2 linked regions of the Caenorhabditis elegans genome follow. The protein of the gene in region 2 purifies or fractionates together with the protein of the main gene of each other region. This does not show direct contact. Each region holds a gene or a part of one and is shown on either strand. Other genes may lie near its edges.

Region 1 (6,968 bases), on a different chromosome or scaffold from region 2:
TTTCACTAAAAAATCAGTTTTTTTGTCAATTTTTCGAATTTTCTTTCAATTTTATAAATGAAAAAATCCCAAAAAGTTTGAAACTACAGTACTATTTAAAGGCGCACACCTTTTCGCATTTAACAGAAGTTTGTCGTGTCGAGACCGTAGTTTTGGAGCAAAAATCGAGAAATCCGACGAAAAATTTTAAAAGTAGGAATTTTTTAAAAACGAATTTGTAAGTTTTAGAACTATGAATTTTTTCTAAAAAATTTAATTAAACACCTAAAAAAAAATTTTTTTTTCGATGTTTTTTTTCTGAATTTTCCGAATTTTCTATTCATTTTTCCGTTCTAAAAACCTTTAAATCATGTAATTTCCAAATCAAAAAATCATTTCCATTTGCACTTTTCTTCTTGAAACCCTTTTCCACAATAACACCAATCGTGCACCATGCTTCTTTGAAATTTGACGTTGGTTTCAGATTTGATAGCTTTTCAAGCTTCATTCCAGCAGTAAATGCTCCAAAACTTGTCGCCGAAATTTTCGGATTCCGAATCGATATTTGAAATTTGTCGAATCTCACAATTCCGACGGTTACTGTGTCGGTGGATGGTTTCGTGAGCCCGGTGAGCACTGATTTCTGAAAAAAAATTTTTTTTTGGTTTTGGCGTTATTTTTTTTTTGATAAATTGTAGTTGTAATTGTTATGATTTTAAAAAATCCAAAAAAATTAAAAAATTTTGGGTTTTTCCAGATTTTTCTTCGACTTTCCACCATACTTTATTAGTTTTCCAAGCATCTGTGGCCTTTGGCCCACTCGTTGAGCTATTCTTCTCCAGATGCCGCTTTAAAAGAGCTCCTTGCTCCGTGAGCTCTCTGAAAGAAGAAAAAATTGGAGAAAATTTTGCATTTTTCGAGAAATTCGAGCTTTTCCCTACCGTTTTTTCACATAAAGCTCCTCATCATCACTATCATCATCTTCATATCGATTTTTCGAGCTAGAATCGCTGGGTTTCTCACTAGAACCTTGATTTTCGCAGGCTTCTTCCATGTTCAGAAGCCGCGGGGCTCGGTTTACAGGCTTTAGCTCCTCTTCTTCGACTCCCTCGAGCTGTGTGAGTAGGTCATCTAGGGGATCCATCTGAAAATTGAACAATTTGTGGAAAATTTCAGCGAAAATGACGGAAAATGAGAGAAAATCTGGGGAAAATCGGTGAAAAATAAATAAATAAATTTAATTTTTAAATTTTCAATTCCCGCTACCTGGAGACACTGGAAAAGTAGTCCCGGAGAAGTAGAAATTCCAGAAAAATAGGCGTGGTTTTGATTTTTTGCTGTGAATTTCACATTTAATTGATTTATAGATCAAAATCAATTTTTTCTGCACATTTAACATTGCAATAACAAAAATTCGCTTCAAATTTTAAGCCCAATGCGGCAATTCTCTGTCCTCCAAAACACCCTCCATAGCGCCCAACTCCGCAAACACCGTCACGCAAAACTGCACACAATCAAATGTTTTCGCCGAAAAATCGGTTTTCTTTTTTTCTCTCATTTTCCGCGCATAATCCCAACTTTTATTTGATTTTCGACAATTTTCCATCACCGAATGACTCAATTTTTCGCAAAAATTACGAAATTTCACTCATTTTCAGCCAAAAAATGCCGAAACGCGCCGTTTCTTTCGCCGACGACATCGAAACGAGAGTTTTTAAGCGGGATAAACGAGAAATTGAAGATGGAATATTGGATATTCCAATGGAAGAAGATGTGGTGAAGGAGAGACCAGGAAATGCGGATGTAAGTGGCTTTTTTTGCGAAAAAACCCGGGAAAAATCGAAAAAAATCGATATTTTTCAAAAAAAAATCGAAAAAATTTATTTTTTTGATATTTTTCCAGGAAGACGAAGAGGAAAAAAAGAAATTCCACACATTAGAGTCAGATGAAGAAGAAGAAGAGGATCACAAACGTCTAGATACCCGAAGAGTTGAAGGTCAAGAGGATTGTGGTGTGGATTTTGATGGATCTATTAAAATTACGGCTTTCAATATGAAAGAGGACGAGGAAGAGGGTCATTTCGATGAAACTGGAAACTTTATTTTCGATAAAAAGACAAAAGATGTTCAAGACGCGTGGTTGGATGGTATTGATTGGAGTTTAGTGAAGAAAAAGGCCGGAGATCAGTGGGAGGGCGATGAGGACAAGGTTCGACACGGGAAATGGAGGAAAAATCGAAGAAAAAATCTGATTTTTACGCGGAAATTGCCGAAAAATCGATTTAAACCTGAATTTTTCATTTTTAAATTTGAAAAATACGGTTTTACGCACTAAAATCGGAGGAAAATCGATCTCAGCCTGGATTTTGCGCCCTAAAATTGATAAAAGCTGGAAAAATCGATTTAAAAATAGTTTTTCTGGTTAAAAATTGAAAAAACCGAATTTTTGCACTGAAAATGGCTGGAAAATCGATTTTTACCTGACTTTTTTGCTTTAAAACTGACTGAAAACAACGGATTTTTGAGCTGAATTGGCGGAAAAATCGGTTTAAAAGTCGATTAAAAAACAAAATTTCCGAAAAAAAAAACAGGATTTTTGCATTAAAAATGGCTGGAAAATCGATTTTCACTTGTATTGTTCAAAAAAATCCTGAATGCTTGAAATTCAGAGAAATATTGCAAAATTTCGCGGAAAACTTGATAAAATCCTCCAAATTGACGAGAATTCTCGGAAAATGTAGCAGAATTTTAAAAATCCGAAGAAAATTCCAAATTTTTCACGATTTTTCGATTAAAAAAGTTTCAAAATGTGTCAGGGGTGGGCGGCATACGATTTTTTCCGGCAAATCGGCAAATTGCGGGAATCGAAAACTTCCGGCAAATTGTCGGAAATAAAAATTTCTGGCAAATTGGCAATTTGGCGGAAATAAAAATTTCTGGCAAATTGCCGGAATTGCCGGAATTGAAAACCCGGCAAATTGGCAATTTGGCGGAAATAAAAATTTCCGGCAAATCGGCAAACTGTCGGAAATAAAAATTTCCGGCAAATTGCCGGAATTGAAAACCCGGGAAATTGGCAATTTGGCGGAAAAAAAATTTCTGGCAAATTGCCGGAATTGCCGGAATTGAAAACCCGGCAAATTGGCAATTTGGCGGAAAAAAAAATTTCTGGCAAATTGCCGGAATTGCCGGAATTGAAAACCCGGCAAATTGGCAATTTGGCGGAAAAAAAAAATTTCTGGCAAATTGCCGGAATTGCCGGAATTGAAAACCCGGGATATTGGCAATTTGGCGGAAAAAAAATTTCCGGCAAATCGGCAAACTGTCGGAAATAAAAATTTCCGGCAAATTGGCAGATTGTCGGAATAAAAATTTCCTGCAAATTGGCTAATTGGCGGAAATAAAAATTTCTGGCAAATTGCCGGAATTGCCGGAATTGAAAACCTGGGAAATTGGTAAATTGGCGGAAATAAAATTTCTGGCAAATTGCCGGATTTGCCGGAATTGAAAACCCGGTAAATTGGCAATTTGGCGGAAATAAAAATTTCCGGTAAACCGACAATTGCCGCCCACCCCCCTGATTTCAATATAAAAATTCCTCAAAATTTCCAGAAATCCTTGGAAGACGAAGAGCCGGAGCCAATTACAATGAGTGATGCACGAAAAAAAGAAATTTTCGAGCAACTTGTCAACCTCCTGAAACCCAATCAAACAGTGGCTAAAGCTCTTTCAGAGCTCAAAAAGAAGAAAGGATTAAGTGCTGCTGAAGAACGGAAACTTCGTTGGGCCGCCAAAAAAGCCGGAAAATCATTTGAGCCAACTGATGGGCAGAAGGAAACTTCACAGCTCTCTGGGCTCGCTGATGAACTCATTTCTGCTGGAATTGTTCGTTTTTCACAGCTTAAAGTTCCAGAAAATTCATGCTACGCTCAATTTTTTGAAACGAAATTCATAAAAAACCCGCGCGAATGTCGAAAAAATTGCCAATTTTTAGCCAAAAATCGAAAAAAATTCAATTTTTGCAAGATTTAGACCGGTTTTAATTTAATTCGTTTGTGAAAAATGCGATTTTTTCACAAAATTCGCGCTGAAAAAAACTGGCAGAGTGCAGATTTGCCGAAATTATTCAAATCCGGCAAAGTGCCGTTTTGCCGGAAATGTTCATTTTTGGGAAATTGCAGATTTGCCCAAATTATTCAAATCCGGCAAAGTGCAGATTTGCCGGAAATGTTAATTTTTGGGAAATTGCAGATTTGCCCAAATTATTCAAATCCGGCAAAGTGCAGATTTGCCGAATATATTCAAATCCGGCAAATTGCCGGTTTGCCGAAAATATTACAATCCGGCAAACTGCAGATTTGCCGAAAATATTCAAATCCGGCAATTTACCGATTTGCCGAAAATATTACAATCCGGCAAATTGGCGATTTGCCGAAAATATTTTTCTTTAACCCGAAAATTTAGATTATTTTTCTTTTAGATCAATTTCTTCCGGTGTTTTGATGAAAAATGACAATTTTCAGCTAAAATCTGAAAAAATTCGGATTTTTCCAATTTAAAATACTTTTTTTTTTCAGTGAAAAACGTAAAAATAGCGCGCATTTTCATTGCGAAAACCTATATTTTTTCACAAAATTTTGGTGAAAAACATCAAAAATAGCGAAAAATGAGCATTTTTGTTAAAAAAGTTAAAAAATTTCGATAAAAAATATGAAAAATTCCAAATTTTGGCCAAAAAACTCAAAAAAAAAATCAGAATTTTAATTCCAGATGGACGCCTACGAATGGCATCGTGAGAAATTCAATTTCCAATTGCAAAAAATGATAAGTACAGCCGCTGATGAGTTGGATATGTTCTCTGATGAGCCAACTTCAACTGGAGCAGCAAGAGCAGCAGGAGCTCCAATGGAGCAAGAAGAAGAAGAAGCAGATGATAGTGTTAAATGGGAATATAAGGCTAATGAAGAGGCGAAAATTGAGGTAGAATAGTGGGAAATTCTACGACAAATTTGATATTTGAAAAGAAAATACTGGAAAAAATCCCAATTTTTACTGATTTCAGAGGAAAAAAAATAATTTTTTCAGTGAAACAAACTAGAATTAGCCAATTTTCTGCAATTTTGAGCAAGAAAATTGCAGAAAATATGGAAAAATCTACACATTTTCATATTTTTAAAGTAAGAAAATTACCAAAAAAAAAAAAAAAAAAAGTAAAAAAAAGAATTTTTTTGAATAAAAATCGGATAAACTTGGTTTTTGAACTTAAACATATTTATTCGGAAAATTCTCGAAAATTTTCAATTTTATTGCATTTTTAGAAGAAAAACATTAAAAATTATCTGAAAATTCACAATTCAGTCAAGACAAAGTCAAAATGCCTGAATTTTTGGTAATTTTGAGTTGAAAAATTGTTGAAAAATTGTCGGAAATTCTCGATTTTATACCGAAAAATCCTAATTTTTCAGCGAAAAAACGGACGATTTTGGCGAAATTCGTGTTAACAAAATAGTTTTTTTTTTTTTAAATGAAGAATTGATTTTTTTAAACCAATTTTTTGGGATATAATCAGAATAGCCTATTTTTAGCAAAAACTTTGAACATTTCCATGAAAATTTGGTGAAAAATGTCAAAAATAGCCAATTTTTATCCAGAAATCGAAAAAATTCAATTTTTGTTAGGTTTAGACCCGTTTTAATCGAAATAGTTTTTTCTTATTAAAATTCACGCTGAAAAATCCGGCAAATCGCCGGTTTGCCGAAAATGTGTTCGAAAAATAAATTAAAATATGTCAAAAAAATTTCAAAAATTTTTTTTTGAAAATTCTGAAATTTTTTTTAATGAAAAAAAGTCTCAAAAAAAGTAAAAATTTTTTCCAATTCCAGGGCCCGATTCCGACTTCAGAAATGATGGATCGCCAATCAAAAGGACTTCTTTCGGCAGAAGGTGTTGCCAGACGTTCTGGAACAAATGGACATTTTAATCCAGTTGCCAGAATTGATTTCGAGCTTTATTTGTAAAAACTCTCCTAAAAAACCTCTCCTCCTCCTCCCCTGAATTTTAGCAATTATATGATTCATATTTCATTTTTTTTTGTTTCATTTTCATTTTTTCCCCCATTTTTTTTTGTTTCTCTGAATCTCGTTTTCACTCTCTATCTCTCTCTCATCACTTAGAACACACATTCATTTCTCTCACTTTTTCCGCCTGAAAACAGCTGAAAAAAAGTCGGAAAAATGATTCGGTGCCGAAAACTTTTCAAATACCGAAAACTCGCTATTCAACATGATATTTATCACAGTTCCGATGACATTTCTCGAGGTTTTTTCAATTTTTTTTTGTAAATTAAATTTTTTTTTTCCCGTTTTTTTTTTGCCCTTTTTGGTCCTAAAATTGCATTTTTTTTCAAGTTTTTAACTTGAAAATTCATTTTTTTGGCCTATTTTCGCCCCTAAAACTGCACTGTATTATATAAAATCCCCAATTTTTTCCTTTTTTAAAAAAGCTTTTTTTTTTAAGATTTTACGGTTCCAAAAGCCGCTAAGTTTCTGCTGAATTTTCTGGGAAATTTCTAGATTTTACATTAAAAAACAAATTTTTTTTAAAATTCTAAATTTTAAACTTCGCTAAATTTCTAAATTTTGGTGTAAAAAATTAGAAGACAAATTTTTTTTTAACCGGTCATTTTCCGAAAATGAAACCTCTGGTAATTTGCCGGTTTGAATATTTCCGGCAAATCGATAAATTGCCGGATTTTAATATTTCCGGCAAATCGATAAATTGCCGGATTTTAGTATTTCCGGCAAATCTACAGTTTGCCGGTTTGAATATTTTCGGCAAATCTGCAACTTGCCGGATTTGAATATTTCCGGCAAATCGATAAATTGCCGGATTTTAATATTTCCGGCAAATCTGCAATTTGCCGGATTTGAATATTTCCGGCAAATCGGTAAATTGCCGGAAAATCCAGTTTTTTGCCGGAATTGAAAATA
Region 2 (4,270 bases):
CCATTTCAGAATTGTAGTTTATAGTCTAAAAAGCTTCTCAGGGGACCTAATTCAATTTCAAATTCGGACGCCGCTGCTGTCATAAAATCGTTACTAAACTTGCGAAATAGCAATTTCCAAAGAGAGAAGAGTCGCAGGAAGATTTAATTAAAAATTAAATTATTTCGAACGCAAGCTCGCTCTATTGAGAATCTGAAGAATTAAAAATTCTAATTTAGGCGGCTAACAGAAGGGAAATCAATAAGAAGTGAAAGGAGAGCAAAAGTTTTTGCCGAGCAATGGGGAGGGGGGGGGGTGCTCCCTCTCTCCCGCTGAAGAAGACGTCGCGGCTCTCTAAAAGAGGCGGCAGAGAATCAGAGCACTCGGCTCGCGGCCTAGAAATGGCATGTGTCAGGCCACGCCCCTGTGGTTGGTTTAGACCGTTTTATTACAAAATACGGATACAGTTGGGTGGGGGGGGGGGGGGGGGGTGTGTGGAGGCAAAAAGAAGAAAAATGGGTGTTTGTGTGTGTGTGTGATATAGAATGATTGGGGTGTTTAACACAAAAATGATGCTTTATCAAATCTTGTTAACAACAAACTCCAATTAAAACGAAACCTGGGCGCAATGGGGTGGTGGTTGGAAGGGGCACAAATTGAGTTTCCTAGTACTAGTTCGTTGATCCTTGACACAATTGAGACCTTTTGTTGTGTCAAATATTTGGTAAAGAAGAGGTCGTCTTGGTGGGTGTATGTGGAAGATCAAGGGATTCAAAGGGCTTAAAAATTAAAGAAAAAACGGGAGATAACAAGCAAACCAAATCGAGGGCAACTCATCAGAAGAGAGATCGATAAGGCAGGTGATAACAACAACAAGCTAAATGGGGGAACTAGAAAAAAAAGAAAAATAAGAAACAGGCATTTTGGAAACGAACAATTTGTGGGGTAGATGGGCACAGGCAAAGATATTGAAAAGAGGAGAATTTTGAAGAAAACAAGATGGAGAGAAGAACAGAGCATTTGAATGAGGGCGGGCGAATTGGTTGGTTGGCTGAAGGTCGTTGAGTGGGGGGGGGGGAATTACTTGGCACCGAGAGCTGGGAAAGCATCGTCAGAAGCGTTGAATGGAGTGTTGTTGCGTCCTCCATGACCTCCTTGACGTTGTCCTCCACGGCCTCCACCGCGTCCACCTCCTCTTGGTCCTCCACGTTGCGGCCTCTCAGAACGGTCGTTGCGCTCGCGTTCTGGACGATCGTTGCGGAAAGTGATCGAAATGTCGAGCACTTGCTTTCTTGGAGCCTTGTGGATTACGACGACCTCGTCTTCCTCACGATCTGGGATGACCTCCTTCTTGATTGGAACGAGCTTGCCAAAAGTATCGGCGGCTCCCTCTCCGGCCTTTCTGGTGTTGAACTTTGGAGCGTCAGCCTGAAACAAAAAAAAAAATAAATTCCAAAACTAATATTTTATACGACTCACCTTAGCCGCAGCCTTGAACTCCTTAAGAGTCTTTTGCTTGGCAAGAACAGCCAACTCAGCCTCGTAGGCGAGCTCCTCAGCGGTCTTCTCACGTGGAACCTCTGGCTCGGTGCTCTCAGCGCCCTCTGGAGCAATGTTCTCGGTTTCTCCAGCCAACTCGTCCTTCTGGTCTCCCCAGTTGCCCTTTCCGTGTCCGTCCTTCTTGTCGAATGAGCGAACTCCGGTACGGTCGGATCCGGATTGACGATCGAATTGACGCCCACGTCCACCACGGCCTCCTCCACGTCCGCCAGATGGTCCACCTCCAAGGGTGAATCCTCCACGACGTCTTGGGGCACGGGTATCTTGTCCGTCTTCGAAAGAGACCTCTTGCTTTGGCTCCTCTCCTTCTCTGTTCTCGCGAGTGAATCCTCCGCGGCCTCCACGTCTAAAATACAAAGTTCAGTAAAATGAAAAAAAAAATTAAAAATTTAAGCGTTTCTTACCCAGCTGGACGAGCAGCACCGCGCTCACCGCCTCTGCGGGGTCCTCCACGACGGTTCTCGCCTTGTGGACGATCACCGTTCTCGTTGGAGACACGTTCTCCGTCACGTGGACGGCCGGCTCCCCCGCGTCCGCGACCACGTCCTCCGCGTCCACGTCCAGCAGCACCGTCGGTTTTGGTGGCGGCTGAAATAATGTTTAATTAATTTAAGAATAGGAATGCCAATTCTTACCAACTGGAGCAGCGGCTGGCTTGACCGGCTGGGCGGGCTTCACAGACTTTTCCTCCTTCTTCTTGGCGGCGATTTGAGACACCTTTTGGATGAGCTCTCTTGGGTCGTCATACTCTGCAAATTATCGATTTTTTATAATGTCTTCTGGGCGGAGTATATCGCATATGAATATTGCGCAATATCCCATCGGGAAGATAAGATAATCATCCGGCGATCATCATCATCAACCACTCACCATCGTCGTCGTCGGATGGAAGACCGAACTTGTTGGTGACCTGGCAACCGTATTCAGTGCTCATTTTTGCTGTTTGTGTTGATTCGATGAAGATAAGATTCCAAGTGCAGGAAGCTTCTGTTCAATTCAATAATTTCAATGCCAAGTTAATCAATAACCCATAATATGGGGATACCTGCAAGAACGTTAGTTTAGATTTCAAATTTTCAAACAAAAATCGATATTTAAGAAAAGAGTATAATTAGCCAGACACCGTTGCGATATTTTAAATCAGTTAAGCACTTTTCACAACTAAAATCAAAAAATAAAAAAAGCAAATTGCATTTTCTTAAGGGAATTTTTGAATGTTCCAGAAAGAAATCGAATCAAAAGTCAGAAAATCAACAATTGCTCAAAATCCACTATTTCGGAATAAAATAAACATTTTTCAGTGCAATTTTGATCAAAAATCGGTGATTTACTGCTAGCAACCCAAAAAATTACAAAAAACCGGCGAAAACGGTCAAAAAAAATCGGAAAAACTGTTCAAATCGGACAGGTGAAGGTTTGGCTGCGTATCACAATAGTGTAAACTGGCGTTTGCGAGCCGCTACGCAGCCAAATGCGACCGCCGAAATGGGCGGCAGTTTGAAATCGAAAACTAGTCCTCGGCCATTTTCAATCAATTTTTGGTTGGGGGAAAACTTGTTTTCCAATTGTTTTTGTTGTCTTAAAGTATTTGAAAAGAAATTTATGACATTTCCAGCCCAAAATGTGTGTAAAAAAAGTAAAAATGCCGGGAAAAAGTATTTATTACAGCGGGGGATAACGAATAATAGTGGAAAAACTCGTTTGGTGGTGAAAAATTGGAAAACTAGAAGTTGAAAGTTTGTTAAAATCACAGATTTCGCGAGAATTATGCTATATTTACACAGAAAAATTAAAACAAAAATCAAATTAAAAAGCTCTTCATCTTCTCTATTTCCGCAGCTCGGGATCACAAAAATATTTACCAGCGAGCACCTTTTTACGAATCATAGACAGGTGATAAATATCCGATTGCACTAGGGAAATGTCCACTCCAGATAGATTGGCTTCCAGGCACTGAAAAAGATAAATTAAGAGCTTAAATTTCAGTTTTTAGTACCTGAAATTGCACGAAGACCTGCGCCGGCTTCCGATCGAGCATTTCCAAGCTTACTTCGTCCTGGAAAATTATATATTTTTTATTTTAAAGCAATTAAAAAGCCCGACCCCAGAATTCTTCATAAATATCCTTGCTTTCAGCGATCCGTGCACATCTCCATTTCTTGAAATTTCCAGCAAATTCCAGCCGAGTGACGGATTTCCAGCCACCCATTTGGCTTCTGGCTCACACATCACAGAATCCACGCTTCCCGTCAAATTTGTGCTGAAATTCACGTTGAGAAGTGGCGCCGAGATGGAAGATTCTGAGTTGAGGCGATAGTCGACACGGAGATCTGAAAAGAAATGCGGATTTTTATTATTAGGCTTTATTTTTGGCGTTTGCATTTAAAAAGTACTACAAAAAACTCAATTTTATTTAGCAGACTCAGCAATTTTGCCAATTTCAATAAAAAATTTGGGTCTGCTACACTACAAACTACAAAATCAAATTTAGCAGACCTATCAATTTTCTGCAGTTTTTAATAAATTTTGGTCTGCTAGACTACAAACTACAAACTCTTAATTAGCAGACCCATCAATTTTCTGCAGTTTTTAATAAATTTTGGTCTGCTACACTACAAACTACAAAATCAAATTTAGCAGACCTATCAATTTTCTGCAGTTTTTAATAAATTTTGGTCTGCTAGACTACAAACTACAAACTCTTAATTAGCAGACCCATCAATTTTCTGCA

Evidence for each region. The genes of interacting proteins can lie anywhere in the genome.
Region 1: the proteins of vig-1 (region 2) and teg-1 purify together in Caenorhabditis elegans (affinity purification with western blotting; one study listed by BioGRID). This does not show direct contact.

What each region holds. Positions count from the first base shown.
Region 1 is NC_003281.10:11,311,725-11,318,692, reverse strand, and holds teg-1 (GYF domain-containing protein), read left to right. Parts: upstream 1-1,637; 5' UTR 1,638-1,644; coding exon 1,645-1,782; intron 1,783-1,882; coding exon 1,883-2,188; intron 2,189-3,591; coding exon 3,592-3,864; intron 3,865-4,749; coding exon 4,750-4,959; intron 4,960-5,861; coding exon 5,862-5,996; 3' UTR 5,997-6,464; downstream 6,465-6,968. Other genes in the region: mcm-10 (Protein MCM10 homolog), read right to left, coding at 341-622, 762-858, 921-1,123.
Region 2 is NC_003280.10:1,319,351-1,323,620, reverse strand, and holds vig-1 (Hyaluronan/mRNA-binding protein domain-containing protein), read right to left. Parts: upstream 2,585-4,270; 5' UTR 2,474-2,584; coding exon 2,410-2,473; intron 2,289-2,409; coding exon 2,175-2,288; intron 2,128-2,174; coding exon 1,944-2,127; intron 1,886-1,943; coding exon 1,459-1,885; intron 1,408-1,458; coding exon 1,060-1,407; 3' UTR 548-1,059; downstream 1-547. Other genes in the region: fcho-1 (FCH domain only protein 2), read right to left, coding at 3,367-3,492, 3,536-3,595, 3,643-3,869.